Oryzias latipes: one gene and its partners. The protein of the gene in region 5 purifies or fractionates together with the protein of the main gene of each other region. This does not show direct contact. Links are inferred from orthologs where the notes say so. Each region holds a gene or a part of one and is shown on either strand. Other genes may lie near its edges. The genes, in order: ppp2ca, grb2, cdk4, cnp, otud5, ruvbl1 and supt16h.

What was found.
Region 1: the proteins of otud5 (region 5) and ppp2ca purify together in Homo sapiens (affinity purification with mass spectrometry, with the first as the bait; 3 studies listed by BioGRID). This does not show direct contact. The link is inferred for Oryzias latipes from reciprocal best matches to the Homo sapiens genes OTUD5 and PPP2CA.
Region 2: the proteins of otud5 (region 5) and grb2 purify together in Homo sapiens (affinity purification with mass spectrometry; 3 studies listed by BioGRID and IntAct, with this or other methods). This does not show direct contact. The link is inferred for Oryzias latipes from reciprocal best matches to the Homo sapiens genes OTUD5 and GRB2.
Region 3: the proteins of otud5 (region 5) and cdk4 purify together in Homo sapiens (affinity purification with mass spectrometry, with the first as the bait; 4 studies listed by BioGRID). This does not show direct contact. The link is inferred for Oryzias latipes from reciprocal best matches to the Homo sapiens genes OTUD5 and CDK4.
Region 4: the proteins of otud5 (region 5) and cnp purify together in Homo sapiens (affinity purification with mass spectrometry; 3 studies listed by BioGRID, with this or other methods). This does not show direct contact. The link is inferred for Oryzias latipes from reciprocal best matches to the Homo sapiens genes OTUD5 and CNP.
Region 6: the proteins of otud5 (region 5) and ruvbl1 purify together in Homo sapiens (affinity purification with mass spectrometry, with the first as the bait; 3 studies listed by BioGRID). This does not show direct contact. The link is inferred for Oryzias latipes from reciprocal best matches to the Homo sapiens genes OTUD5 and RUVBL1.
Region 7: the proteins of otud5 (region 5) and supt16h purify together in Homo sapiens (affinity purification with mass spectrometry; 3 studies listed by BioGRID, with this or other methods). This does not show direct contact. The link is inferred for Oryzias latipes from reciprocal best matches to the Homo sapiens genes OTUD5 and SUPT16H.

The regions. Positions count from the first base shown.
Region 1 is NC_019872.2:4,039,931-4,044,458, reverse strand, and holds the start of ppp2ca (serine/threonine-protein phosphatase 2A catalytic subunit alpha isoform), read right to left. Parts: upstream 3,257-4,528; 5' UTR 2,225-3,256; coding exon 2,123-2,224; intron 1-2,122. UniProt on the Homo sapiens protein: Catalytic subunit of protein phosphatase 2A (PP2A), a serine/threonine phosphatase involved in the regulation of a wide variety of enzymes, signal transduction pathways, and cellular events.
Region 2 is NC_019866.2:20,735,254-20,738,734, forward strand, and holds part of grb2 (growth factor receptor-bound protein 2), read right to left. Parts: intron 2,724-3,481; coding exon 2,601-2,723; intron 2,256-2,600; coding exon 2,087-2,255; intron 1-2,086. UniProt on the Homo sapiens protein: Non-enzymatic adapter protein that plays a pivotal role in precisely regulated signaling cascades from cell surface receptors to cellular responses, including signaling transduction and gene expression.
Region 3 is NC_019863.2:27,222,111-27,226,682, reverse strand, and holds the start of cdk4 (cyclin-dependent kinase 4), read right to left. Parts: upstream 3,211-4,572; 5' UTR 2,986-3,210; intron 1,279-2,985; 5' UTR 1,272-1,278; coding exon 1,054-1,271; intron 978-1,053; coding exon 842-977; intron 747-841; coding exon 579-746; intron 1-578.
Region 4 is NC_019866.2:5,979,688-5,984,300, forward strand, and holds the start of cnp (2',3'-cyclic-nucleotide 3'-phosphodiesterase), read right to left. Parts: upstream 3,174-4,613; 5' UTR 3,035-3,173; intron 2,113-3,034; exon of another isoform or gene 2,107-2,112; 5' UTR 2,074-2,106; coding exon 756-2,073; intron 681-755; coding exon 553-680; intron 457-552; coding exon 1-456. UniProt on the Homo sapiens protein: Catalyzes the formation of 2'-nucleotide products from 2',3'-cyclic substrates. May participate in RNA metabolism in the myelinating cell, CNP is the third most abundant protein in central nervous system myelin.
Region 5 is NC_019865.2:31,811,343-31,815,382, reverse strand, and holds part of otud5 (OTU domain-containing protein 5), read right to left. Parts: intron 1,843-4,040; coding exon 1,778-1,842; intron 1,705-1,777; coding exon 1,548-1,704; intron 1,478-1,547; coding exon 1,329-1,477; intron 1,171-1,328; coding exon 985-1,170; intron 571-984; coding exon 366-570; intron 1-365. UniProt on the Homo sapiens protein: Deubiquitinating enzyme that functions as a negative regulator of the innate immune system. Has peptidase activity towards 'Lys-48'- and 'Lys-63'-linked polyubiquitin chains. Can also cleave 'Lys-11'-linked ubiquitin chains (in vitro).
Region 6 is NC_019863.2:3,779,318-3,782,795, reverse strand, and holds part of ruvbl1 (ruvB-like 1), read right to left. Parts: intron 846-3,478; coding exon 694-845; intron 573-693; coding exon 483-572; intron 1-482. UniProt on the Homo sapiens protein: Possesses single-stranded DNA-stimulated ATPase and ATP-dependent DNA helicase (3' to 5') activity; hexamerization is thought to be critical for ATP hydrolysis and adjacent subunits in the ring-like structure contribute to the ATPase activity.
Region 7 is NC_019876.2:21,315,330-21,319,496, forward strand, and holds the end of supt16h (FACT complex subunit SPT16), read right to left. Parts: intron 4,102-4,167; coding exon 3,983-4,101; intron 3,575-3,982; coding exon 3,336-3,574; intron 3,255-3,335; coding exon 3,179-3,254; intron 3,083-3,178; coding exon 2,913-3,082; intron 2,842-2,912; coding exon 2,712-2,841; intron 2,641-2,711; coding exon 2,514-2,640; intron 2,445-2,513; coding exon 2,370-2,444; intron 1,650-2,369; coding exon 1,546-1,649; 3' UTR 957-1,545; downstream 1-956. Other genes in the region: C-type mannose receptor 2-like, read right to left, coding at 1-68. UniProt on the Homo sapiens protein: Component of the FACT complex, a general chromatin factor that acts to reorganize nucleosomes. The FACT complex is involved in multiple processes that require DNA as a template such as mRNA elongation, DNA replication and DNA repair.

The DNA of each region.
Region 1 (4,528 bases), on a different chromosome or scaffold from region 5:
CTGCTTCACGCCACGACACAACAGACCCGCAGTTCTAACGACAACAGCTCCACATGGAGGATGACACAGCAAAACAATCATTTTGAAAGACAAATGGAGATTGAGAACGGTGTGTAATTTTAAAATGATGGCTCACAGGGCAACCGAGACAATTCTGTTTTTAATTTAATGGGTGCAAGCACAAGACCTGGGGGGGGGGGGGGGGGGGGTGTGCAATTTGAGTATTTCCTCACATATTTTGAGGAGCTAAAATGGGGAAAAGCTCAAACAGAAAAAGGTTTACAGCTGGAAAACATCAAACCAAACTGGAACAAGCTGCTTTCAGTCAAGCCCAGATGCCATGAAGCTCCAGATGCTAACGTTCAACAGACCTGAGCTGAAAGAAAAAACTCCATCTGGCTTTGACTTCAACCAGTAGAATATTTGAGAAAAGATAAGTTTAAAAGAAATCTCATTGGGTTCAAAGAAATAGCACTTTCACTCTACTCTCAGGACGAATTTTTCCTCTAAACCTAGAGACATTCAGAGCTAAAGATCGGCACAGAGATCGGGGTTAAGCCGCAGCTCAGACTGCTATAGTGTGCAGAATCTGTTGACCAGCTAATAAATAAAGCACAAGCATATGTAGACTTCACATCCAGCAAATGTCAACATCAGGGTTAGGGGTGGATAGGCTGCTACTTTATTAGCAAAGTCAGCAGCTTCTCAGCCTGGAAATGGTTTGCTAGCACTAGCACTCCACTTTGCAGGATGTATGACCCATCAAACAACCCAGGGACAAAAGGAAAGCATGCATGCATCCTTTCTAAAGATGAACAATAATTAACTGGTTGCCTCCTAACCATTATCACTACTTAAATGGAGAAAACCATTAGAACTCTGAAAATACTCTTCATTCATTATGTTAATTAAAGACCCACTATGATGAAGATCCTGTTCTTTGGTGCTTTAACATGTTCTTGTTCTGTGATGATGGAGGACATATATAAAGAAAATGTTGCTCAGAATTGCATTTCTGGGTTTTTCTTTTGTCAAATGATTGTGAATGAGGAAATGATCATCGGCACACAACCTCCCTGCTCTGCTCCGTTCTGATGCATCCACTTGTAGACAACTAGATCCACGAACGTCTTTGTTTTCCTCGTCTGGGCTGGCATTCACCCCAAAACTGTACAGCTGGGTTGCTCAAATACTGCTCAACCATTTTTGTTGCACTTGTAATGTTAAGTTAGGGGTGTGAGTGGCTGTTAGCAAGCAGGAGAGCATGTAAACAGTTGTTTGATAGGAAGTGGGGGCGGGGTTGCTCTGTGCCAACAGTCACAACTGAGGCAATTTTCTAATGCCACACTGCACAAACTATGTACGCCTCACCTAATGCCATAATTATTAGTAAAAAGAACCCTGGGAACGATTTTACAAAAGATCAACAGATGGGCGGAAGCGGACCTTTAAACTGCATCCACTGCAGTGAAGCGCTTTCAATGTTTATTTCTGCACCCAAAAGCCAGACTGGAAGCTAAAGAACCCTAAATGAATAAGAGCTTAAAACGGGATACAATATAAATGTGCTCTAAACTTTATATTCAGTGAAGATAAAGGTTAACAACTAAAAGAAGCTGACTAAACCATTTACGTCCAAACAGCCTGAGTTGACCAGAAAGATGCCTGATTAAAATGATGGTTTTACTGCTACAGAGTGGGGTTACTTTCAGAGCAGTCCCAAAATCGGGGGGCTTATTTTAGCCCCCGGGATGGGGGGTGGGGGGTAAGTAAAGCAGACTGGGGCTTTTTGCTGCAACAGCTGCCTTAGGGAGATGCTGCAGTCACCGTGGCGCCCGCGAGGAGAGCAGGGAGGGGAGCGCCGCTTCCAACGGGTCTGCACCCCGGTAAATCCCACGAGCTGCCCTCCGAGCGTTATTTCCTCCCCCCGCGAATGAGCAGACCGCTCAAAACCATCACAGAGTGGGGTTTGGCAGTGAGGGTCTAATATCGCGCGGTGAAATCTACACTCCTTCTACTATAGACGCCATCTTAAGAATCTCTGAAAAAAGCCACAAGGAGGAGGAGGAGGCGCGAGACCAGACGTTAACAGAATTTGGGGTTTAAAATAAACTCGTCTTACCTTTTCACACAACGTTTTCACCTGTCCTTCGGTTAGCTGTTTGCATTCGTTGAGCTGCTCGATCCACTGATCGAGTTCTTTCGTGAACGCCTTTTCTTCCATTTCTGCTGTTTTTTCTTCACCGACAGGCGCCGCGGCGGTTCACCAATGAGACTCCGACTTCCCTGAAGCTTACAAAACGTTGACCGCAGGAGATGGTTTCACTCCGACCGACAGAGGCATGGACCTCCAGCTGCCAGATCACTATGAATTGACAGAAGAGGGGCGGGAGACAGCTCTGTTTGGCGATCCACCCTGAAAAATGGTTCATGTGAAGACGTCAGTGGTCATACGCTGCATTTCCGGCGAAGATCTTCAAGATAAAAGCACCACGCACCAGACTTACCCTGTATATAATATTTCAACTAATTAGTGGTTCATCTGTTTTTGTTTCCTCAACACCTATTCTTTTTCCTCTATCAAATTTTTTTTCAAGATATTTATTTAGAAAAATCACGGTCAAATTAAAACAAACACTGTTTCTTGTTTCATTTCATTTTTAAAATGCTTATTAAATTAATTTGCTCTGAACAAAGTAAATGTAATATCGATTTATCAAATGTATTACTAAATTTCATCTGAAGTACCTTCTTGTTTATTACTTTCCTGTTGGTTTTTGCAAATGTAACTTAATTTTCTTAATGAACGATTTGCCTTTGTTAACTTTATTTTCTTTTGGGAAAAGGTTTTTGCATAACTAAACAAAATAGCAATTTGAATAAAAATAGTTACATAAAACTAATAATTTAATAGTGTAAAATCATTGCAGTAATTAAGCTGAAACTGTAAATAAACTAAATCAATTAAGCATCTTTGGGGAAAATCAGCCCTGATAACAATTTATTTCCAAATTAGCAGTAGATATACTACTATTCTTTTTAAATATCGACATTTTTTTTTCTTCAAAATCCACACAGTTGCTTAAAACAAATTTTACATTGTGTGAAATATCTAAGTAATTTTAGTAAAGAACATCCATAGACGGAGAACAGACACATTCTTAATCATTTCTTTTGTTTTAATTCTTTTAATTTTTTCAAATCTGACATACAGCATCTGAGTCCATTGCACAAGTTTTTCAAGTTGGAAAATGGTCATTCTGTAGAAAATGTGCAAGTACCACAATAAATATTAAACAATAAGTACTAAATTGTACCTGAGTGCAACCCTTATATGAAATTGTTCCGCTATTCATCCCTAATGTTAACTTGTGAAAAAGGTGGATGTTGTGTATGTTGAGCCAGCTACATTTTAGGTTTTTATTTGTGTTTTTGCTGGATTAAATTGTTATAGCTGACACAAAAAATGAGGGTCTGATCATCTGCAGTGATGTTTGGCAGCTAAAAAAAACATTCATTCGTTCATTCATTCATTCATTCATTCATTCATTCATTCATTCATTCATTCATTCATTCATTCATTCATTCATTCATTCATCTTCTTAACCGTTTATTCCCTTTCGGGGTCACGGGGTTGCTGGAGCCTATCCCGGCCACTTGGGCGTAGGCAAGGGAAACCCTGAACTGGTCGCCAGTCTGTCGCAGGGTGGAATATCCTCAATCAAACATCCATTTACTCTCACACTCACACCTATGGACAATTTAGAGTTGCCAATCAACCTATGTAGCATGTGTTTGGACGGTGGGAGGAAGCCGGAGATCCTGGAGAGAACCCACGCATACACAGGGAGAACATGCAAACTCCACACAGAAAGGCCCCCATTGATGTTCAAGTTCCAAGTCCCCCAGCCAGGACTTGAACCGGGGGCCTTCTTGCTGTGAGGCAAGAGCGCTAACCACTGCGCCACCGTGCAGCCCGCTAAAAAAAAAAAAAAAAAAAAAAAAAAAAAAAAAAAAAAATTGTGGTTATTGTGCTTTTACTTTGAAAAACGCACTTCCGTTCTTGTTTGGTTGCTTGTCTCACATTTGACTCAGCAGAAAATGGAGTTCGATCCAAACAGAGACCCGGACGGATGACGACAGCGCTTCCTCTGCTGCCTCATTGGCTGTTTTTTTTAAAGAATGATTTCTCAACCTGCATTACAGAGAATACATCATCCTCCACAAAAAACATGAACTTTGTAGTTTGGCCATGATGTCACGGGTTCATGAGCAAGGCAGAAGCAAACAGAACGCAAACGTACCTGTTCTAAAAATGATGTAATCCGGTTCTAGCTTAAAACATGAAAACCCTATTTAAAAAATTAAAATAAAGTCCAAACGAGTTATGGTTTGAGGTTGTTTTGTTTTTTTAACGATTTTATTACTCTTGTATAGTAAAATAATAAATGACTTGTCAAAAACCTGCTTAACTGACTAACATAGACCTTTTCTTTACATTTTTTTACTACAATATGACTATTAGAGG
Region 2 (3,481 bases), on a different chromosome or scaffold from region 5:
CGTCATTAACACAGAGAATTCAACCCAGGCTCTGATCATCTTTCAGGACCAAAAGATTTTTCATATTTCATTTCTACATAAATCCTGATTGATCGTGTTTTTTTTGTAACACAGAGGAACATTTTCTGTGCCGAGTTTCTTAACACATGCCAGCGTAATTCATCCATGCTGTAGGAAAATTCGTAAATGTCCTTTAACGTAAAAATAAGTATTTTCTAAACGTAATAAACGTGAATCCACCGTGTCTGCATCTTTATCAGATTTATGCAGAGCGGCTTCTGGTACGCGGGAACGACTGTGAATCTGTATTTGGAGGAAGACTTCTGGTTTTGTCTGTAAATAAGGTCTCAATTTTTCGATGAATTGGAAGAGTCTTCTTTGGTTTCCCTGCAGACTCTTTTCTCCCCAAAGAAACTTTCCAAATACATTTATTTGTTGGTTTTATTAGCTTTTAAGCGTTGAACAGCTGCCTAAAGTCATGTGACGCGTCCAGACAGACGGATGTGGTGAACAAAATTCGGTAGTTTTCCAAAATAAAACTTCCTTTAGTATCAGAAAATAGACAAAACAGAAATAATCGGAGTTGGAGTATGTATTTTTGTTCTGTCTGCTACCCTAACCCTGATACCGGTCCTGGGTTTGGGGGACCGCTGCTTTAGACGTCTTGTCTGATTCTTCGTCACAGCATCGCAGTCTTCTCCGTTGCATTTACAGTTGATCTCCAATGCATTGGACTGAGAGGCCGTGGTCGGACGCCGGAGCCTCCACAGCTCCACGCCTGAATGTTTCCCGTTAAACGGCGGCATTAATGTCGATGCATTCACTCAGAACTGGACCAAACGTGTTGTTTAGTGCAGCCATCTCAATCCAATCACGAGAAAAAGCTTTTAGCAAAAGAAAGAAGGCGCACAAGCATTGAAGAGCTGCTTTTACAACATCTGAATTGATTTGAATCCATCACAGAACATTCACATGAATGTCTATTTTTAACAACTGTGACTAAAAAGAACAGAGTGCAGCAGAGCAGGAGAGGTTTTTACTACTATATTCTTTTGTTTCTGCAGAATTAAACTCCACATACCACATAAATATATGTTTGGCTGAGTTTGCAACTTGTCCTGAGGTGCGACTGATATGTATAAAAAAAAAAAATCAATAGCAACAACCACGAGAGGGCGCTGTAGATGTGCGCATCAGCATTTCCTACTGACAGCGTGACAGAAGAAGTGGCGCTCAGTCCAACACCAGGCTTGGCGTGAAGTGTGACGCATTTGTGATCTTTTTCTTCTTTCTTGCTCCTGTGACTGTCAAGTCTGGAGCGACTCATAGTCCAAAAAGATACAGTAATTTGTCAAAATGTAAGTTTTTATATAAATAAAAGTACGCATTTTTAACAGCTTTCCATGTATTGGATCATACCACGATGAAGTCTGGATGGTACATAGTCTTGAATGCGTTTAGGATTTGATTGTTATTAGTATTTTCAGTGCTGCTCTCCACAAAACCATGAAACACCTTTGTGACTAATATGAACATGCAGGAATGAAATGATCTCACATTCATCTTTAAAGCGCTTCTGTGTAATCCTGTACTCCAAATGTCAGTTTAACCGTTTGTGACACTGAAATGTGGCCGATGGCACAGCGTAGCTGCAATAAGAAATACTTTTCAAAGTTAAAACGACCACAACAACAACAAAAAAAAGGTTCTGCTCTAGTTTACGTCCATAAAGTCTTTAAAAAGAAAACCTGTGACATTTAGATTTTACGATGCATCATAAAAATGGATCAGCTAAAAGAAAGAAAGCTCTGATGCGAATCAGAAGCATTAGGTGCAGTCATGTGACCTCGGCATGTGGTGACCTCAGAGTGGTTTTTTTACACCCACGGTTCCACGCCAAAGATCCGCTCCACGGCAGGTCTTCCGCTGAGCTCACATGTGGTCGGGCTGCAAACCCATATGCTGGGACATTTGTGTCTTCATGTATTTGCACAGAAGGTGCACATGGACAGTCAGTGTGCTCCATCAACACAGAAACCAATCCTTAAGCCCCATTTTTAAAGAACAGTTTAGTGGGATGTCTTACCTGGGGAACCTGCTCTATGTCTCGCAGAAAGATTTGCTGATTGCGGGAGACTGAGGTGGTGCGGTGGTAATCGACCAACTCATTGAGAGAGTTAAACTTCACCACCCATAGGAAATACTTTCCAGCTCCATCGCGGAGAACCTTGAAGTGCTGCACGTCATTTCCAAACCTGCAGAGAACAGAAACTCAGACTCTGAACAGTGTGGTGGAGAAGCAGCTAAATGAAAGAGAGTGGAGGGAAGCAAAGAAAAAAAATGCTCCTAAAAACATTTTTATTACTAAATGAAAAAACAAAAGCAGAAAAATTGTAGTTTTATCAGAAATTTGTTTTCTAAAAACATTTTTAAAAACTGGAAATAAGGGAAAAACCACAAGTGACTCAAACTCCGAGAACATAAATTTGTTCAGAAATGAGGAAGCACGTCACGCCCAGGTTGAAGGGGAAAAATATGAATGGAAAAACTAATGCGAGTAATTTTTTCCTGGATTGTGGCGTCAGAGTGCGGCCGCTCACTTGACAGACAGGGAGAAGTCCCCCGGTGCGCTCTCGCTCTCTCTGATGAGGAAGGCCCCATCGAGCCTCTGCTTGTTCAGCATCTCCTCCGCTTTGGCGCGAGGAATCTTCCCGAAGAACCACCTGGAGGACGGCAAACACAACAAGAACTTAGTTTACACATGGGACTTTAAATCAATAACCATTTTGGTTTGGGATCACTAAGTTGATGCAAACGTGCAGAAGAAACCGTATGGAAGACACCTCTGATGCTACGTTCACACCGCCTTAAGCGACACAGGTTCAAGCATCCACTTCAGATGAAAAGTCTATGGAAACGCTCCTAAATATGGGTTTGGGCCTTCCGCAATCAAAACTCACACATTTACGCGTAGCTATGAAAGCTTTTACGACCATTTTTCAGGCTCCATGTAGAAAACGCGCTGCCACTGAATGCGTGTTGAAAGTTAAACCTGGTTGATTATTGACCAATCAGGGACTCTGATTTGGTAGCGATGAACGGTGGCTAGCGGCCCTTTTAATTCATGGATGTGCCAACCATTTGAAAATTGATCGTGAAGGAAAGATGAATGACTGCGGTATGTGCCCCGCCAGAATTCTTTTGGACTAGAGCTGTGAAAGAAAAAAGCCTGGAGCAAGATTTGTGAGGTTTGCAGTGCTCCGACATTTTACACCTGAACATGTGATAGCAAAAAAGAAAAAGAAGAATCCCCTCCCTGCTTGTCCAGTGGGAACACCACGGGCAATTAAGAACCTGCATTTGGCATGTTCCTGAACACACATAACATGCTTGGTGTGTCTGTAGCTTGACACACATCTACATGCGTCAACAGAGCAGAAAAGACAAGATATAAAAGTTAGAAACAGACCTGTTATCAGAA
Region 3 (4,572 bases), on a different chromosome or scaffold from region 5:
CACCACTTAAAAGCAAGCTACACAAAATCTGTCAATCAAATGTTTCAAGACACCGCCTACTTTTATTGAGGAACAAGATTGGCCAGTTTATAACTACAGTAAAAAGAAAATCATTAAAAAAAATTGGAGGATTATCAAGAATATGTTCAAAAAGGTACCAGAGCAAGAATGGTCATTTTGACACACAGAACGACTGCTTATTTCTCTATAGACGTCTATGGGATTTTGACTTCTTGGAGCCAGTGGTTACTTCCTGTTTGGAACGCCAGAAGGGGAGGGGTCACTCAGTCCAGCTCTCCTTTACACTCAATGGTAGCAAAGCCGATTGTTTATTGTGTGAGTTATCAAATAGTTATGGTATGTAAAAAACGCAAGTTATTTAGGTGTTGCCAGCGACACCATTCTGGTGTTAAACGGTCAGGGTTGTGTCGTAACTGAAAATGATTTATTCCAAGAAAAGAAGCCAAAACAGACAGCAAAAACAAATGAAATAATCATCTCCAAAGCGATTGTTCAAAAAAACAACATTAACCAAACCGCTGCTGATGATCAAGACGTGAGCACACAGCAGATCTTACCACAGGAGTGAGGGCCATGTGGCAGCTGTATATCCTCGCTAAGCCAAAGTCTGCTAGTTTGACCTGGCCCTGGCTGGTCACCAGAATGTTCTCGGGTTTCAGGTCTCTGTGCATCACGCGGTTTGAGTGGAGGAAGGAGAGGCCAGACAGCAACTGCTTCATCAAGTCCTGAAGACAGAGAAATATTTCACACAAAAAAAGAAAGAGAATCAGTTCCAAACAGTAGCTGCCATCAGTTTTTATTCTTTTCTTCAGGGACTCACTTTCACGCGCTCTGGTGACAACCCTGGAGCTGGAGCTCTCTCTAGATACGTTTTCAGGTCTTGGTCCACATGCTCAAACACCAGAGTGACTTTGGTTTCCTGGTCGGATCTCTTGGTGGCACACACATCCATAAGCCTGGATGAAAGTAGCAAGCACTGATGAGGTGGAGGGGGGGCAACATTTGAGACAAAACCTGTGATAACTCTCCTACCTGACCACATTGGGGTGGTCAAACTGCTCTAGGCGCTTCAACAGCGCCACCTCTCTGACCGTGGACACCGGGAGGCCATTTTGGTCAGTCTGGACGCGCACGTTCTTCAGGGCGACGAACTTGCCACTCTCGATGTCGCGAGCCTTGTAGACGGTCCCGTATGCGCCACCACCGATCTCTGCCACCGGCTCGTACTGCAGACCGGTGCACTGCGCCATGCTCAGACTGGGAGACGAGACTGGGGTCATCTCACATTTATACAGACACCTCAAACTCCAGAGCAGCACTTTTGAGGGATTTACTGAGGGAAAAAGTCTTTAAAAGAACCACTCCAAAAGAAAACAGCGTTTCTGGTTGTTTGACATGTTTTGGTAGCATTTTCTTCTCATGTTGGAGGACATATATTAGGAAAATTGAAATTAAAACTGCTTTACTACTTCTTCTTTTTTCAAATCATAGTGAATCAGGAGCAGACCAAAAACTGCTGTTAGAAAAAGTTTTTACTTGTATACAAAATACAATCGGCGGGCCTCAAGCTCCCTGTTTCTGTCCATGCAGATACATCCACTCGCAGATGACTAGATCCATCTTCGTTTTCCTCGTCTGAGCTAGTATCTGGCTCAAAGCTATATGGCCGGGTAACTCCAATAATGATCACCATTTATTTGTGCTGCTTGCGGTTGTGAGGGACTGTAAGCTAGCAAGACAGAATGCAGACAAAGGGATGATGGGAAGTCAGGGCAGGCTTGCTCAACACAACTCAGAGGAAAAATTTTGATTACCGTAACTCCATCTGCTCTGCAGAAACTATGTCCTAGAAAATTACACAACATTAAAAGATCACTGGGAACGCTTTTAAAATAGATCAAATGATGATTGGAGTGGCTCTTTAGTGTTTTTAAATCAGGAATCTCTCTCTGCACATAAGGAATGGTTTGACAATGATGCCTGGCTGGATTGATCCCTTCCCCAGAGTGACATGTGACATTTGTGTCACTTTGTGTCAAAACTTTCCTGAGCTTCTCCTGTGCGTTTAGTGTTTCGTTTTCCTGCAGCAAGTTTTTCTGCCTCTGCTGTTTGTTTACAGCATAGAAACCAGAGGACAAAAGAGCCGCAAAAAGATCAATTTATACACATTAAAAGCACATTTTTGAGAGACTTTTGCATAAAGCACCAACACAGTGGAGCATTTTTCTTTAACTTGGTTTATCCTAAATGATGGGAAAATGCTTTTTGGTAATTTTTTTGGAAATGAATATATATACTATTCCAGATTAGAGTACATGGAATTATGTAAAAACTTATTTTTATAAATCAAACAACATACAATAAATAGAAAAGAAATAAAATTCACAAATCTATAAATTTTTAACTAAAACAATCATTTCTGTGTTTTGGGAGAGACACAGTGAGTCCAGAGTATAAACTAGGTGAAACTCCCAACAGCCGTTGTTTGAGGGGATCTTCTTGAACCAGTTTGCGCATGACAGCAGCTCGTGATCACAGAAAAATGTATCGATTATCAGATAGGCAAAGCCGGACGTTCGCCCTCCATGTCTCATTCATTCCCCGCCTTATCAAGCGAGAAGCAGGCCGGTGACTCCAAAGCAGTGGGCGGATGTTCATGTGAAATCAGTAGGCCGGGGCAGACACGTGGTGCTCCTCTGTGGCAGTCCTTTGTTAATTTAGAGCAAGAAAATGCAGCAGAAACAGTCCACATGCACTTTTCTAGCTCACACACGCACACACACGTGTCTGATCATTGGTCTGAACGTGGCGGAAGAAAAAGCGGGGGACTATAGTCAGCGGCGGAGGAGACACATCACCGCCTTTTAACTTTTCACATCTGTTCAACATAAAAGCGTAACGCGGCAAAACCATACTCCTCCGCAGGTTTGTGTATTCGACAGGTCACACATAAAAAAAGCTTACCTCGGCCGTTTTTTTTCTTTAAGGGCAAGAGAGCTCACTTTAGTTCGAGCATGCTCGTTGATCTGCCACGTTTATCTGGAGCAGAACGGGTCAGAGGTGGCAGGTCGAGTCCAGGCTGAAGTTTACGGCCGAACAGCGACTTTGATGTGGAAAAGATTTCGGCCTCCGCCGCTTTCCTTCCAGCCTGCGCTCGTTTTCGGTTATCTTCCTGTTGCTTTAGCTTCTCAGGGGGCGGAGCTTAAGTTTTTACCACAAACCATTTGAAGAAAAAAACAAAAAAAGCTTTTTGTTATCAAAAGCCACAAATTCGTGCGACCTATTTTTTGTTAAGCCGTTTTATTTAAAAAAGGGGGGAAAACGACCCCACTTGCTTCACATAAGAGGGAGAAAACAGTGATTTACTGTTTACACTAAATAAAAAAGAAATGGACAAAAATGTTATAAACTTGGAAAGCCTATATCTTATTATAGAGGTTTTTAATACATATATTTCATTTTAAGGCAATGTAATTAGGTAATTCAATAATCAAATCATGGTTGATTGGGTTTTTTATAAGATACCTAACTTTTCTATTCTTCAACCAGAAATTAAGTCAATAAACTAGAGTATCTTCACTGGAAGTGTTTTATTTTTTTTCACTCCATTGACTTACACAACTGCAAACTATCATTGTGGTTGTTTACACCACAGTTAAAACTGTGGTTTTGTTTAGAGAACTGAATAGATCAATGTTAAAAAAGAATTAGAAAATGAATGTAATTAAATATGTTGAAAGAAAATATTTACATTGTTAAAAAAAAACCTTTTATACAAATAGTTGAAATTAAAAATCTCAATCTCTAAAAAATTATTTAATTCAGTGATTTGGATTTTCAAATTAAGTGAATGTCAACATTTTAATGACGTCCACAATGTGGTTTTCTAATTATTTTGATCCTACGGTATGCTGCCTTCTTTTTCATGAATGTATTGTAAAGATTAGTATGTTAACATTAATGATTTATTTGTAAATAACGGGTTAAATAAAAAGCTAAATGTGTTGTAAAAACATGATTTTTAAAAATATATGCACATCAGTTTAAATATTTTCTTGAGAGTTGATACCAGCATAGTTTTTAGTTGTTCATTAATGTTACCATAAAAGCTTACTTTAAATTTATTCATTGCAAAATGAGACAAAATTGGTCAAAATTTTGTCCTATTTTAAAAACAAACAAACAAATAAAATACACCCTCAAGGTATAAAACATTTAACTCTGTTCAAAATAAATTTAATGCAACATTATGTGGTAAATTCAATACTATAAAATGCCAGTTTTGCATGTTTAAAAGATAAGAGATTAGACCTCAAGCCAGAACTTATTAAAAGTTCACTAACTTACATCGTAAAATATTTAAACTCACAAATAAGAGTTTCCTCAATTTTGATTTTTCAAATTAGTAAAAATGTCATTAAAAAAAATAATGTCATAAAAATAAAAATATACAGAAAGGAGTAGTTATTATATTACCCAGTGTTGTCTGTCTTTAAGCCACTTTTGTAAGATCTGGTAAAAGAAGTGCCATCAAGTTTGATCTGTCCCCTG
Region 4 (4,613 bases), on a different chromosome or scaffold from region 5:
TATGGAACACTTCTTTTGCTTCTTCTTCTCTGGTTCCTTTTTGGGTGGCTCTTGCTCCTTGTATGCATAAAAGCTGGAAAAACAGGCGGGAACGGCAATGGGCTCTCTGAGTGTGAGCATCCACCTTCCTTCACCATAATAGATCAACGAGCCCAGCTCCATCTCAAGCGGCTCCCCCTGCTGGCCCTCTTTCTGCAGCGCAAGGATTTGGAGCAGATCTACCCCCGTCTGAACGGGCTCTGTGCCCTCTGCGCAGCCCAGAGTGATGTGGGCGCGACTTCCCTGGGGCAGGGAGGCGGCTGCGGCGACGGCCGACTCCACCTCCTTCTCAGCATCAGCTGGCCACAGGAGAAGCTGCTCCTCGGTGAGGCTCACTCTGGCCCCCGCGGTGCGAGGGGTGACAAAGAGAGCAGTCAGCGACAGCTCAAACACCGACCCATAGGCACTTCTAACCGCCTGGAGAAAGGATTGAAAAGATTAATACAACAAAACCAACAACAACAAAACCTGAAAGGGCACAGAGCAACAAAATAAAATAAAATCAGTTCTTACTGGATTTTGTGCATACTCTTTGGAACCCTCTACTTTTCCATAGTTGCAGAACTTTGTGGTGCAGTGCAAAGTCCCATTGGCTTTGTAGTACTGCTCCAGATCCACCTCCTTCTCAGCTTTTCCTGTGACTTTAAATAAAAGATGAGATGCAAGTGAGTTCAAATGAAGGCATGACTTAATAGAGGAACCTTAGAGGAACTCACAGTCAATCAGGTGTTTCTTGAAGGCTTCCAGCGTGTCCAGAGTTTTCAGGAAGTCCATGGATGTGCACCGGATCTTCTCCTGCACCGCTGGCAGGAGAAACCAGCCAAAGTAAAGAGGAAGGGACAATTCCTCGTGCTGGACTTTCATTGCCTCCAGTTTGGCCTCGTCCAGTTGGCGCTTCGTCTTCTTTGCCAACTGTGCGACATCTAGTCTCCACTCAGTTTGTGGCTCCAGGAAGATCAAAACCAGGTTGTGCTCCTCAGCCATCTCCCACAAGCGGGCCACGCGGTCGTGGATGTGGTTGGTGTCATCCACCACTATTAGCACAGATGAGGCTCCGCCTTCCTTGCAGCAGGTGACCACAGCTTCATCCAGAGCTTTGTACCCCTCTGTGGACTGCTCTGGATTTTCTGGCTTTATGCCGTGGGCGTCGGCAGAGATCACAGAGCAGAGGTCTTTATAGGAATCTGCTATGGCACGGGCCAGAAAGCTCTTGCCGCTTCCTGGAAGGCCTCTGAGGACCACAAGGGTACGAGAGACTTTCAAGGCATCTTTGGTCTGCTCCTGATTCAAAAGGGCAAAAGACAGTGAGCCAGAAGCTGGAGCCACATCTTCCTTCTGAGCCTCTTTTGGTTCTGATTGAACACCTTCAGCTTGTGCTGGCTCAGCTGCCATTACAGAAGCAGACTGAGCATGGATTTCCTTTCCAGACTGAGCCGAGTCACCTTTTCCACCCTCAGCTGATCCCTCCTCTGACGCAGCAGCTTGTGCTGGCTTTTCTGAGGAAAGCTCTTCCCCCACTGCTGGTTCCTCCTTGGTCTCCTGTTTGGTGGATGGTTCTGCAGCTGGCTGCTGTTCCACAGCTTTTGAAAGCACCGCTTGCTCTTGCACTTCAGTTACCGGAGCTGGTTCTGCTGATTTCTCTGGCTCCGGTTCAGGAGCACCTTCTGCCAGATGAGTTTGTAAAGTCGGGAGCTCTGGATTGTTCTCTGGCACAGACGGTTGTTCGGCAGCAGCAACTGGGTCAGAAGCCTTTTCGGTCGAGTTATCTGGTTCAGATGGGGCCACCAACTCCACACCTTCTGACTTTTTGGCGTCTTCATCAACCAGAATTTCCGTATTTTCCTGGTTTTCTTCTGCAATCTGTCCTGCCACTTCTTCTTCAGCTTGATCATTTACTGGCGACTGCTCGGGAGCTTCGACAGCAGCTGCTGGTTTCTCAGGCTCCACTTTTTCCTCTCGATTTTCCATAACCGCCACCTCCTCTTGATTCGGAGCCTCCGGCATGTCTAAAACCTCACTCTTCTCAGTATCCATGCTTGTATTTGAAGCTTAGCGTCGCTCACCACCGTGTACCTTAAACACAGCCACAAAACCCAGCATTTACTGACAGTAAACTGCACAAACTAAAAAAAAAGAAAAGATCATATTTAAATCTCCATTTCCAGAATTTGTGCTCATCATTTTTTAAGCTAAAAAAGATTTAAAACAGGAAGTTGTGCAAGAAAAGGAGTTAAAAATGGGCCAAAACCACTTGCACAATGTGGTTTTTGACCCTTGAACTGAGCGCGTGAGGCTACAGAATTGATTTTTCTAGGTCTATGCAAACAAAAGGGGCGTGGTAAAAAAAGAAGCATTTTTTTAAGCATTTAATTTAGCAGCTTTATAGAAGCATTCGTAGGAGTTTGGACACCAAACCTCGCCTCCAGACAAAGGCTAATTAAGGAAATGCACGAGTGTTTATTGAATATAGTGACTTGCGAAAGCTTCCTTCGACAAATTAGAAAGATTAGAAGTTGCATATTAAAAAAGAGCCAAATGAAACTGTTTCTTAGAGAAAGAGGAAGAGCTAAAAAGGCGAATCCGTCAGGCGTAAAAGAAGACAGATAACGAAACTGAAGCACTATTTTCCAGGTTCCACAAATTAGTACAACCTAAACAAATTGAAATCAAATTTAACTTAAAAATATTAGTTAATAATAAAATAATATTTTAAACATTTGTTTTAAAGCGAATATTTTGGCTAATTTATGTTGGTTTGGTGCGGTGGGGAGTGGCGTGCACATTTAGCACGCGAGACAAAAACGATTTCTCCCCGCCAGGCGGACGCTCAGTCCTCTCTGCAACATCACAAAAAAAACACGCGAATAGTCTGGTTAACTTTAGTTAGCGTGGGAGAAATTAGTTAAACTGTTACCGTAACGAGCTAGCATCAACTGGACGTGCGCACGTGCTGTAGTAGCCTAGCATGTGAAAGGTTTTCTGAAACGCCGCTTACCAGTTGAGTAGCAGTGAAGCTGGAGGTGCTGCTGTGCTGACCACGTTATTGTCCCTCTGAATACAATGACAACGCGGCGCTGGCCGCAGACACGTTACTCTGACGAGGGAGGGGGGATTCAAATAAGAAAAAAAAAGGAAAACTCCCGGGAACGCGCAAGTGGGCAGGGCCAGGCACGCCCCTGCCAACCGGAAGTGGGCGGCACAGGAATATAAAATATTGTAAATAGTCATTTCTAATAAAAATACTAATAAATTAATAAAACATTTCATCTAATTTTTGAGACAAACTTGTTGTGGCTTTTGTTCAGGTCAAAGAAATTAACAGAAATGTGTATTTCCTTAGAATTTTACACGTTTACAGAAAGTTTATGTTTTTTAATGCATTTCATTGTCTGTTAATCCTGGGTTTTTTTAAATCAAAAAATTTCTTCAAATTGGTAAAGGAGTTATGGGTGTTCTTCATACAAATGTTCACAATGACACGAGAAAACACAGAAAAAGATTTCATCTCCTTCTGTTGAAACATCAGATTTTACTGCAGGGGTGTCCAAATATGTGAGGGCCAGCCAGTCAGCCTGCATTGTTAAACCCATTTGATAAAAAAAAAAAAAGAAAAAATACAAATGAACCATTTGATGAAACCATTTTGAAAGGGAATACTTTGTATAACACAAATATTTTCAAATACATCGTTTATCTAATTTACAATAAATTTCATATTTGAAGACCAGAACTGAAGTAATGAAAAAGTCTGTCTAAAAAAAAAAATCCACCATAAATGTGGTTCATATGAAATGCTACATATTAATATAAACTTATACATTGAAGTCGTGGAAACAGGAAAACGACACAAATCTGTATCTTCTTCAGAAGTAAAACCTCTGTGGTTTTGGTCACAGAAACCAATACATTTGTTTTTTTGGATCTGGCCATTAAGGCTCTGAAGGACAAGTAGCCACAGGCTGTTGTCACAGGTAAACTAGTGTAAAATGTAATTTAGCAAATCCATTTCAAGCAGCTTGTAGCTGGTACAATTTTGAACATGAGCTGCATTTAGCCCATGGGCCAGACTTTGGACATGCCTGTTTCAGGCTAACCCAATCATCTAAGATCTATACAAGAAAAACTGTTATTTGGGTGCAATAAAGATCTGTGATGTATTATTTATCGATTGCATGTCAACACTTAACCGGAGCCAAAAAGAATAAGAATTCAAAGCATTGGCGACCTACTACTGTATCTTTGATTGTGGATGCATTATTTCAATAATGATTTAAATAGGTAAAGCAGCCAAATGTTGCCTCACTTGAAATCCATTAGAGCCAACTGACTGTTAAATTCTTTTGAAAAATAGAGACTAAAAATCGTTCTCTAAAGAAAGGCCCTATATGCATAAATACATTTAATCACTAATGATTTTAGAACTCTATTTATAGAACGATAATTTACTTATCCAATTTTGGTGAAGCAGCTTCCCAACAGCTCATGCAAATGTTTAGATGTTACTTCTTCTATCAACCAGAATAATAACTGCAGCATCAGCAAGTCAAGAATTTTTTGAGGGTGTGGAAAAATGC
Region 5 (4,040 bases):
AGCGATCGCTGCTTACTGATGTCATCTGGCTCCAATGTGGTGGCCTTCGTATCATCATAACTGATGACTGAATTGACTTTGAGTGGGTGGAGCTTGAAGTAAACCATTTTGTGTTGGTGACGTCACACTGGTGCGGTTCAGGTCTCATTTACAGTCGGTGGGCAGTAGTCTAGAAAAACTGTTTTTGTTTTCTCAGCACATTTCTAACTGTATAGTTAAGTGTGCATTTCATCTATAGATTCCTGCCACTGGAAGAAGTCCCGCGCCCCCACAGAGGGTGAGAAGAGGATTTTCTTTTTTTTAATGTGCATTTATATGTGAAAAACAAGGACAGGTGGTTCTGGGAGATCCTGTGTGCGCCTTACCTGGGGCGCAGGGCGAAGGGGGCTTGCTGAGGATAAGAGCAGCTCCAGTGGGGGAGGGGGGCTTGTTGTTGGCTGACGTGGCAGATGTGAGGTCAGAGTGGGAGGGGTCAGAGTCGTGTTGCCGTGGCGACCGGGCGCTCCAATCATCCAGCCCGCTGGAAGCCGCTGCCGTGGCTGAACTGCAGGTGGCGCTGGCCTTACGGGGCTGAAACGGAGAAGAGATTTGACCCGCGTCCGCTGTGAGTGGGTGTTCAGAATCTGCCTGGACATTTGGTCACTGTGAAGTCAGATCTAACCAACAAACAAGAGCAAAGATCAAACAGAACCTCACTTGGTTCTGACACATTCGTTTGCTGCTGGTGCTGACGTTGGTTTCATAAAAACTGTCACTTGTGTTTTAGTCCACAGTGAGCCAGATAAACTCATTGCTGGTCTTCAGGAACCAGGATCTTATCAGACTTTGGTTGAGGTCCAATCACTGACTATACAGAAGATGAGCGAGAGCACAACACAAACGACAAATGCCAACAGTCAGGCACCAAATTTAGGCTCTCCGCTGAAGCTGGGGGGGTCCTGAACCTCACAGTGCTGTCAGGGAGGTGTGGTCCTGCCACTGTACCTGTCTGGCCTGCTTCTGCTGGTCCTGCAGCCACTGCAGGTATGACTCCCTGGCCACCTGCTCCTCGATGGCTTCGTTGGTCGCCTCCCAGTCGGTTGCCCTCTTCTTGTCCTCCAACATCTGCTGCTCGATCCACGACTCCTCAGACGTCTTGATGGCCGACTTCATCAGGGACTGGTCTGCATACTGGGAGGGAGAGGTCAGGAAACACAGGAGGTAATGAGAGTGGCTCAAGCTTTGTTCACACGAATGTGAAGCAGCTGATGCAGATGGCTGTGTTGAGCGCTTAGACATGACAATGTTTAGGCTGGTGGAGCTGGTGAAAAGGAGATGGGTGCTGGTACCCCCGGCTTGAAGGCGGGCAGCCCCAGTCCGACCCCGATGGTTGCCTTGTTGGGGTTCACCACGGAGTTGTAGTGGATGTTACGGTGGTAGCTGACTCTGATTGGCTCGTCGTTGTTTTGATGGATGCCGTGGAACGTGTTGATTGGCTCTGATGGAAGAAGAGGACAGCCGTGAGGCCGACGGCTGAAGGCTGGTTTCAGGCGGACAGCACCACTTACCTGTGCTGTACTGGTACACCTCCACTGGTCTGTTGTACATCTCGGCCATGGCCTGCATTTCAATGTGATTGCCGTGGCAGTTGTTTTTCCTCTTCCTGTTGATGTATGTGGTGAAGTCTTCTGTCACGTAGTTAGAGAAGTAGTCGGCATTCTTCATCTGAAAGCCAGAGACTCTTCATTAACTGTGAACTAGCAGAAAAACATTTGAGATGACCAATGTTTCCACTCACCAGATAGTCCATGCAGTGTTTGCGCACCACCTCATGCATGTCCTGATCTCCGTACACCTGATCAGCTGAGACACAGAGAGGGTTTGGGTTAGAGCAGAGGTGTCTCACTCCAGGCCTCAAGGGCCGACCTCCTGCTGGTTTTCCAGAAATCCTGCCTTCTCTGCTGGATCCCTGGATCAGGTGTCTTTAGCCAAAAACTAGCTTCCATGGCAGGCCCGAGGCCTGGATTCTGACAACCCTGGATTAGAGGATCTGTCCTTTAGAGCAGTGGTCTCCAACCACCGGGCTGTGGACAGGTACTGGTCTGTTGATCAATTGGCACCCAGCGCAGAAGAATTAATTAATAATGCCTGGTTCTTTTTTTTTCTTTTAAGTTTCGACAATCTTTTATTTCAAAAATCTTTAATTTTGAAAAATATCCAGATTCTGGGCGGAGGCCCCGGGGAAGGCCCAGGACACGCTGGAAAGACTACTGGGAATGTCTGGGGGACCCCCAGCTCCTCTGGGGAGATGGAAGTCTGGACATCTTTTTTGCCCCCGCAGCTGCCCCCGCAACCCGCTCCCGAATGAATGGAAGGAGACGGATGGATGGATGGACGGACGGATGGATGGACGGACGGACGGACGATAGGATGTATGGACGGATGTATGGATGCACGGATGGATGGACGGAAGGATGGATGGAACGACGGAAAGACGGACGTTACTAGAGATTGATGTTCCACTGCTGTTATCTGTTGTTATTATTATTATTAAAAGATTTATTTTTTTGTGATGATCAGACGTTTTTTTTTTCTTTTTAAAATCGGACCAAAATTAAACATACCCGGCAGCCCCCACCCCGTTCCGCCGGGCTGCGGTAAAATCCCCAGGGGTTGACCGGTCCGCACCCACATAAAGGTTGGGGAACACTGCTTTAGAGAACACCCAGGGCTAAACTCCAACGGTTTAAACCAAGTCAACCATCTGCAAATGTTGCCCTGCATCTTTGACCAGTCACCTAAACCTTTTGGAAAAAGTTTTTCAATCTCCTCCACCGCCCACAATGCACCCAACTCATGTATGCAATGCAGAGACAGAAGACCAGATTACTGCAGAGAGCACAAAAGTCTCTGGGAATCAGGACAAAGTGACAGCTAACACCTCAACAAGTCAGAGTCATGGTTGGGGGCTTTTCTGGCAGAAATAAACGCTGAATTAGGGGTGTGACAATAACTGCATCTACGCACGTTTTTTTTTAAAGTTCTGTATATGGTGCATGATTGGAACTATAATAAACAGATTAAACACATTCATCTTTTCTAAAAATTTATTTTTTCTGCTAGTCCTGTGTTCATACTTCAAGGTGAGTGTGCGACACGGCCGGAGGATTTTGTGTGTGTGTGTGTGTGTGTGTGGGGGGGGGGGGTCGCAAGAGTGGGGGGGGGGGGGTGTCGCAAGAGTTCAGGCACAGCGACTCTTTTATCACAGCGGTGATCAAAAATCCCACACCGTCACAGCTCTACTCCAGAGCAGTTTAGTAAAAAATCTGTCAGTGTTATTCTAACGGAAACCTTTTATTACTGTTCTTCTTCACTCTGTAACACCAAACATGAACGCGCACCGTTAAGGCCTGTACACACCGGGACGAATTTCGCGCGCGATTTTCGCCGACGTTTAACGCCGACGTTTAACGCCTCGTGACTAAACAAAGGGCACCAATGAGAGAGTGTGCACACCGACGCGAAAAAACGCCACGCGTCAAAGCGTCAAAAAAAACCAAACGCCTCGGGTTCGTTTTTTTTTTTTGACGCGTCGCGTCGAAATCTATTCGACCAATGAGAACGGCGCTTTTGCACACGTGTCTGGAGCCTCTGAAGTTACAGTAAAACACAACTTGGGGGCGCTCAAACACAAAACTGCCTTACTGAGCACACATACCAGCGAAGAAGATAGACACCGAGTTGCATCTACACTGCCGCAAAGAAATAATGACGGACATTCTAAAATATCCCCGAACCAAACACCAGTTGGAACAACTGGTGCTTGAAATATTCATGTTTTCTTTGTATGATTCTGACAAGCGCATAAATACTTGCTCTCTTCTTCTGAGTGAAAAGCGACTTTAACAAGCGTAAAGTTGCGCAGCGCCACCTGGTGTACAGAAGTATTTCTGTTTTACATTAAGCGTCATCTAATGTCAGGAAATGAAATTGCATGTTCACTCGGCTCATCGTCAGCGAAAATCGCCTGGGTGTGAACACAAAAAACGTGGCCAATAACG
Region 6 (3,478 bases), on a different chromosome or scaffold from region 5:
GCAAATGAGTACAATTGCAACGCAGTATTCTTTATAAACAAGTAACAGTACCTACCTAACTCATGAACTTACTATATAGGTGTTGTAGGATGACTATGTGTGTGTGTGTGTGTGTCAGCGCACTGTGTGTGTGTAGAAGGCAGGAGCACACCTTACCGCTGTGAGGTCATCACAGCGGTAATACGGGTATTGTCACACCCCTAGGTATGAATCCAAATATTGTTCAGATAAACCCCGACACCCCCAGGTCAGGTGTTTGTAAATCTAAGCCTCACCAAACACAAACCTGAACTAAAAGTCTGTCACTCAGAACAACTGAGTTAACTGCAGCTTTTTAATGATTTTTATGAGCAGTTTTACATCAAAGAAACACAAACTTTGAAAACAATAAACATGCAATCCTCATTTAGAACTAACAAAAGAAAAACTATTCAGTAGGGATAGAAAGAGTAGATAGATTTGAAACCTGTAGCATCACCTACCTTCACTGCTCCACTGTTTGCTTCAATGTAGATGACGTCTCCCACTTCCACACGCTCCTTCTGCAGACTCTCATAGATGCTGGGATCCAGCTGAGAAGACACACATTCTTTTAGGTCATGCATTCAGCCATAACTTGTGTGAATAACAGTTTTCTTTGTACGTGAATGAGAAAGAACAGTAAGTGGTGAAGGCTGAATCTTCCCGTCTGACCTTGAGCTGCTTCGTGCCTTTGGCCGTCTTCAGGCCGATGATGACGTGGCTGATGGTTTTGCCGTAGCCTCCCATGGGATTCTCGGTCTCGCAGGGGGTCAGCTCTGTCACCTCCCCTTCATACACCTCCTTGGTTTCTTTGATGCGCAGTCCTGCGTGTGGGAGGCATTTCAGTCAGGCACACACGCTGCAGCCTCAGCTCAAAGGCCTCTTTATGTTCCTGTCTCAGCTAAGCTGCCACATCTTTCAGACTATCGAACTACGTATTTTATTAAAGGGAAAGAGCCAGCGCGGGTCTATGACATGCCCGTGTGTAACATGACCACACTGGCACAGCCTGTGGACCTGGGAATGAGCACACAGGTGGGGACAGAGAGCTGCGCTCCACTCTGGGACTCAGTCAGTTATTGATAAGATGATGACAAGCTGCAGTTGACAGCCACTTCTTCCTGTGGATCCTGTACCAGAGGTGGGGCAAACAAGCTGAGACCACCTTTACCTAATCCCCGCTTCCTCTGTGCCAGACATCAGAATGCAAAGACCAACTCCTCCACCCTCTCATAACAACCCCCCCCCCCCAAAGAAAAGTGTCAGCAATCTGCCTTCAGCTGTGATCTTGCAGTTTACAATTAGACAGAGAGAAATACCTTTTTTTCCCTTTTATCTTACTCTTTCATACTATTTTTGGATTACATTAACAGCTGTAGCAAGTAATGGGTAAATGTAATTCACATTTATTTTAAATAACTAGAAACAGGCCAGAATGTTTGAAGACTGCAGAATCCCGGTTGAACAGAACCTGTGCAAAGTCAAAAGTCCGTGTCTGCCTCCAAGCACAATGCCAGGCTAAGACACTTGATTGGATGGAATCTGGACCAATCAGCATGAACCCTCTTGTCTGTGATTGGCTGTTTTTGGTGGCACATGTCACACTAAACTAAAAGCTATGACCAAAACGTCAAAGCCAGGGAGAAAGCGAGATGAGAGACAACCTTTGTGTTGCAAACACAAAAATTAATTTTGAAAGCAAAGAAAGATATTCTAAAAGTAAACATTTCACATTTTGATTTGCAAATTTGAAAGTTTTGCTTTTAAAACGGAACATTTTGTCTGCAATTTAGGACGTTTTGACCTGAAAACTGTGACTTTTGTTGGCGATGTGGCGGCACAAATATCCCTGCAGGCGGCTGCAGTTCAGTTTTCCTACGATTGTTGAGATGAGGGCGTCAGGCCGTCTACACGGCGATGGAATGACTGCGTGTCACTCTGGACTTGGGGTTTTATAATCACAAAAAAACCTGTTGTCTCGTGAGATCAACTTCTTATTGACAAAGAGAACTATAAAAAAAAAGGAAAAAAGTAGGGTAGGCGGTTTTCAGCTGCCATAGAAAACAAAGACGTTCATAGATTTATGTGTCTGCATCGGAATGGAGCGGAGCAGGAAGCTTGTGGCTCACTCATTGTAGCTCCGACATCACTGCTACAAGCTTTTTCAAACAGTATTTTTCATCTGCTTTTGATTCCCAAGGATTCAAATAAAGAAATACTCAGAAATGCAATTTTTATCTCAATTGTCTTCACACATGTCCTCCCATCATGAGACGAATGCAGCAAGATCGTGTTGAAAACATCAAAAACACTATTTTCATTGGAGTGGGATTTTTAAATGTCTAAGAGTTCATACCACTAACAACATACAAAGCAGCGTTAGAAATAAGGAAAAAAACTGGCAAGTAATATTTGGTTGTCCGCCCCAATATTAATATTTGGTTGTCCTTCGATACCAATATTCAACAGCAATGTAACCTACTCAGATGTCAGTTCTTACATCTTTATTTCTTCTATACGTCTAATATCAACTGCCTCTTATGATGGACATTTAAAAAAATCTTTAAATATTAAAAACAAACATTTAACTAACTATTGAAGCATCTGGTTACACAAAGTATTGCCATGTAAATGGTAAAACGGCGTATACTTATAAAGCGCTTTCTGCCTTCTTTCGAAGGCCTTAAACGCTTTACAGTCACAGTCCCATTCACCCACACACATTCACACACTGATGGCAGTGTGCTGCTGCCGAACACTGGCACCAACCTCCCACCAGAGGCAAGGTGGGGTTCAGTTGTCTTGCCCAAGGACACTTTGACACATGGGTGTGCAAGGCGGGAATCGAACCTGCAATCTTTCGATCATGGGTCGACCGCCCTACCGCTGCACCACGGCCGCCCATGTAAATCAATTACTGTTACGGTCAGATGAAAATACTTTATCTTACCCTATAATATATCAGAAAATTGATTAAATTGACCAACACTGTAACTTAATGAGTATTTTTCAAATTTAGAACACTTGTATGGACTGGGACTAGTACAGCATTCCAAATATAAAGTAATATTTATATGTGATGAACAGTTATGATATGATATAAAATCTATTTCAAATAAACACATGTAAATGATACCATGTTTACATTGTGTGCTGCACTAGCAGTAAAGACTAATATCCCTGATCTTTTAAACCAGACATGCAGCTGCAATGTTGTCATTTTGCGATTTCTTCGGGCGTACTCGGATCGTTCAGACGTCACGTGACATCGTTCGTGTACACTCGGTTCTATCTTGATAAGTCGGACGTCGGTTTCCCAAAAATGTTGAATAAAAGACCAGGTTGTCACACGGACAACCATCGTGTTCATTTGGGGTTGTCCTCCGGGAAATCTGGTTGTCTCTGACAACAGGATAACTGCTTATTTCAAACGCTGCAAAGTTGTGAAAAAACGTTT
Region 7 (4,167 bases), on a different chromosome or scaffold from region 5:
TGATGTGAAATGTCCACAACCAGAAAAAAGGACCCTGGGGGAGAAAAACGGATGTTTATCAAAAACATAGAGCGTCAGTTTTTTGAGTATTTAATCAGATGAAGAACAAACCAAAAAAGAGAAGCTTCCACAGAGCTCGATCCATGATCCACATAGATACACTGACCTTTATGTGTGCGGGACCAGGATGATGCAGCAATCAAGCTTACTGGTTTGGATAATCAGTCATCCAGTGACATTTGCATGAAGATAAACTTTTAGGAAGAGAGCTCAGGTTCTTCTGTTTGTGGGTCTGTGTTGAACAAAATAATCCAGAGGATTAAATCTCTACAGGTCTGAAAATGCTAAAAAAAGAAAAAGCTAAATAAACATCAGACAGAGTTTTGTTTTGACTATAATCTAGTTCAGATCCATCTTCCAGATTGATATCCTTCAAACTTCTGATTTGGGTCTTCAAGTCTTACCCCCCCCCCCCCACCCCATTTTGAACCTTCCTCCTGTGTAGTGAATGTTTGGCTTCTCCTATGGTGGTTGGCGGCGCTGGTTTGAATCCCGGCTGGGTTCTCCTCGTGCACCTGTGGGTTCCCTCCACCAGACCGCCAACGTGCTTCATAGGTCAATTGGTGTCCCAAAATTGCCCCTGGGTATGAATGAGTGTGGGCTTGCATTTGGTGATGACCCGTTCAGCGTGTGCTGGCTTGGCTGCTGAAGCTCTGAGCTTGAAAGGTGGGTTCTGAAAATGGTAGATGGGTTTCTGGCCACAGCGCGATGATTCTTCGGCTCACAGATGGAAAAAAAAAACTTTGACATTTGTAATTATTCAATGTTTTGACTTTAAAACAAAACCCTAACCCGGTTATCATAACCATTTACAGCGAACGGTTGGAAAAAAGAAAAAAAATCTGCAATCCCTTCAAACTGAACCTGAAAGAGAAAAACAGTCCAGAGAAAAGATGCCAGTTCTTTTAGATTTTATTACAAAAACAGGATTTTCAGAGTCAAAAGTACATCATACCTACCCCCCCATGAGAGAAAACATGAAAGTGTGACAGGTGGTGTGAGTCTGAATGCAGGAGTTTACAAATCCCATAAAAAAGAACAGGAAACGTGCATCTGCACACCCCCCCCCCCCCCCCCATTTAAAAAAGGCAAGTGCTCAACTTCAGCTTCAACTTTAACAAAAAGATGAAGACGAGGAATCAGGATGTTTCCATATAAAACAATTGGCAGAGAATATTCCATCTTTTATTATCACTCATTAAGAAAAAGATTTTTCAACTGAACATAAACAGTAAAACCAAATTTAACAAACACACACAACCAAGACGCCTGGTGATGAAACAAAGAAGAGCGATGAAGACCAACTGTCCTGCTGCCGGTTCTCTTTTTACAACCATGATGCACCGGCAAGCCACGCCCACAGGTTTCTGCATCTATGTACACATTTGACATATGGGGGGGGGGGTTTGGGGACACGGAGGAATCCTGGGGTTTGGCAGTACGCATGGATGTGCGTGTGTGTGTGTGTGTGTGTGAGTGAGATGTTTAGTTTCGCCGCTTCTTCTTGGTGGGTGGGGGGGCTGGTGCTGTCCGACCCTTCCTCTTCTTGTTGGACGGGTCTTCGTCCTCGTATTGACTCTCTCTGTCAGCTAGAGGGCAGCAGAGAGAGAACGGCTTTAATAAAGATGGGTTCACATCAAACGCCATTGCGCGGCAGGGGCGTCCGCTAATATACAGACATGGTCACAGGTCCTGTCATGCAATTTGAGGGTCAGGCGCGGCGTGACGGTCTGGGAGCAGCTGATTTTGGGCAGAAGAGCGAAAGGTCCATTATAAATATCTGAACTTCAGCAAAGGTTTGGTGTCGTGTACACCAATCAGGAACTCAGCTTTGTGATGTGTGATCTGTGATGATGTAATCAGTGGGAGGAATCCAGAACCAACATAGAGAAGCTGATCGTTCCCCTTCTGAACTTTTTGATAATATTCTTCTCTGGATCAAGACAATAGTAGGGATGTCCCAATCCAATAATGTAATTGGAAACCGGGCCAATCACCTAGTTTTTAGAATCGGATGTTTCGTCAGGGATCGAAAATTTATTTTAATCTTATTATAAACAGCGCTATAAATTTCAAGCTTTATTTTATGAACACATTTTGTGGGCAAGTGTCCAGCAGTGAATTCATCAAAAACAGCTGGAGGATGAATATTCGCCGCATGAATGGCGTTTGGTTTAAATGCAGCACAAGTCATCGTCATCCTCCTCCTCGGCTGCAGCTTCAAACTTCTCCAAACATTTGCAAATTGGAAAGCAAACATGGACTTATTTGGTTCCAAAACCAGAGCCCATTTGCCTGCACACACAAACCTTTGCGAGCTTCCTCCTCCAGCTCGTCCCAGTCTTTGCCGCTCTCCTCCTCGCTGCCCAGCGACGCACTGTAATCTGAAAGCACACAATCAATCAGACTCCGCCCACAGGCTCAGCGCAGGCAGGGGCGTTCAGACGTCCTACCAGAGTCTTCCGTTTCTGAGCTGTAGTCCTCATCACTGTCCTCCTCCTCTTCCTCTTCTTCATCAGCTGATGGGTTGAACGTTTCATCCTCAATTTCAGACTCCGAGTCTTCCTGCGCATCACTTCCCTGAGAAACAACACGATGGTTAACAGGTCGACACTGGAAAAGGACGATGGTTTTCCCAAAAGAACGCTCACCTCACTGTCAGGGTCCAGGAACGACCAGCCGCCCTGCGCAAAGAAGCCCTCGGGATCGTCAACGATGGTCTTCATGATCTTGGTCCAGTTCAGAGACTGAACTCCTTCAGTGTATTTGATGTCACACGAGCTGAAATCAGAAGAAACAACGTCAAAGCTCTGCCTCTCATCACCCGATTGGTTTTTATCCATTGGCCTTACTTGAGCCACTCCTTGATTGGATCCAGTGAGTTGACAGGCACGGCGTTGATCATGGTGACCTTTTTGTTGTAGTCCTTGTAGACGATGACAACGTCAAAGTTCTTCAAGTGGAACTGCACACGCTCAAAGTGGACGAGCTCCACTTCATCCAGAGTCACCACGAACGGAGGCTGAGAAAACATTGGGGGGGGGGGGGGGTGTCATTTTACAGATACTTCCTGGTACATTTCAGAATAAAAACGCCTCTCGTGAAAAGCTTTACGCACCCATTCAGTGACGTTAACCAGAGAGCTGGAGGTGGGCTGCAACAAGCAGGTGCTCCTGTAGGGGGCACCCTGGAACCTGAAAGCATTTAATAGTCAGCGAATCCATTCAGAGTTCCTCCTTTACAACCCCCCCCTCCATGACCTCTTCTGAACTCACCCCAGGTCTCTGAAGGGGACTTCGAACTCCAGCTCCTCCTTTGTCAGCGTCTCCACCTTCTCGATGAAGTTCTTGAAGGCAGATTTCAGCTTGTGCCTCATCTCGCGCTCCATCTGCTCGGCGTACAGGTCGTCGCGGTCGTGCATGTGCTGGTGTTTGCCCAGGTCCGTGGTGATCTCGCCCACCTCCGTGTAGAACTGCACGTCTGTGTGTCGCCGTTTCCCAAACATGATGGCGTTCTGTAAGGCAGAATGGTCAGGTTGAGCAAATGAGCTGAAGGACAACAAATCAGAGACGCTTCAGAGGTCACATGATGGAAACATCTGAACTTTCTAATCAATCATCTTTTGATCCATTTTCAAAGTGTTCTCAGTTGTATTTTAATTAAGATTATGTCGTTTTCAAAACCAAAAAAACCTGTGCTACCTACCATGTGTGATGATTCACAAGATTTTAATCTTGTGAATTCTCAACTTTATTCTTGCTAAATTCTGACTTTTATCCCCTCATAAATAATAACTATATTATTGTAAAAGGTATTTATTTTTATGGCGGCCCTAATACTTTATCATATTAACCTAATTTAAACTGCACTGCCTTTTTCTTCTTAGCTAAAGGGAAAACTTGGACGCCTTTGTCAGCCGTACCTTCAGGTGGAAGTGCAGCACTATGATCATCTCGCCGTCGCACGGCTGGAAGATGGCATGTTTGATGTTGTTGTAAAGGATGTCCACCTTGTCTCCGCGTACGGATGTGAACCTGAACCCTGAGCAGAAAAATAAAGATGGCTGTTTGTTAGGATTCCTCCTCTGAGGGTGGTTTCGGAAGAGTT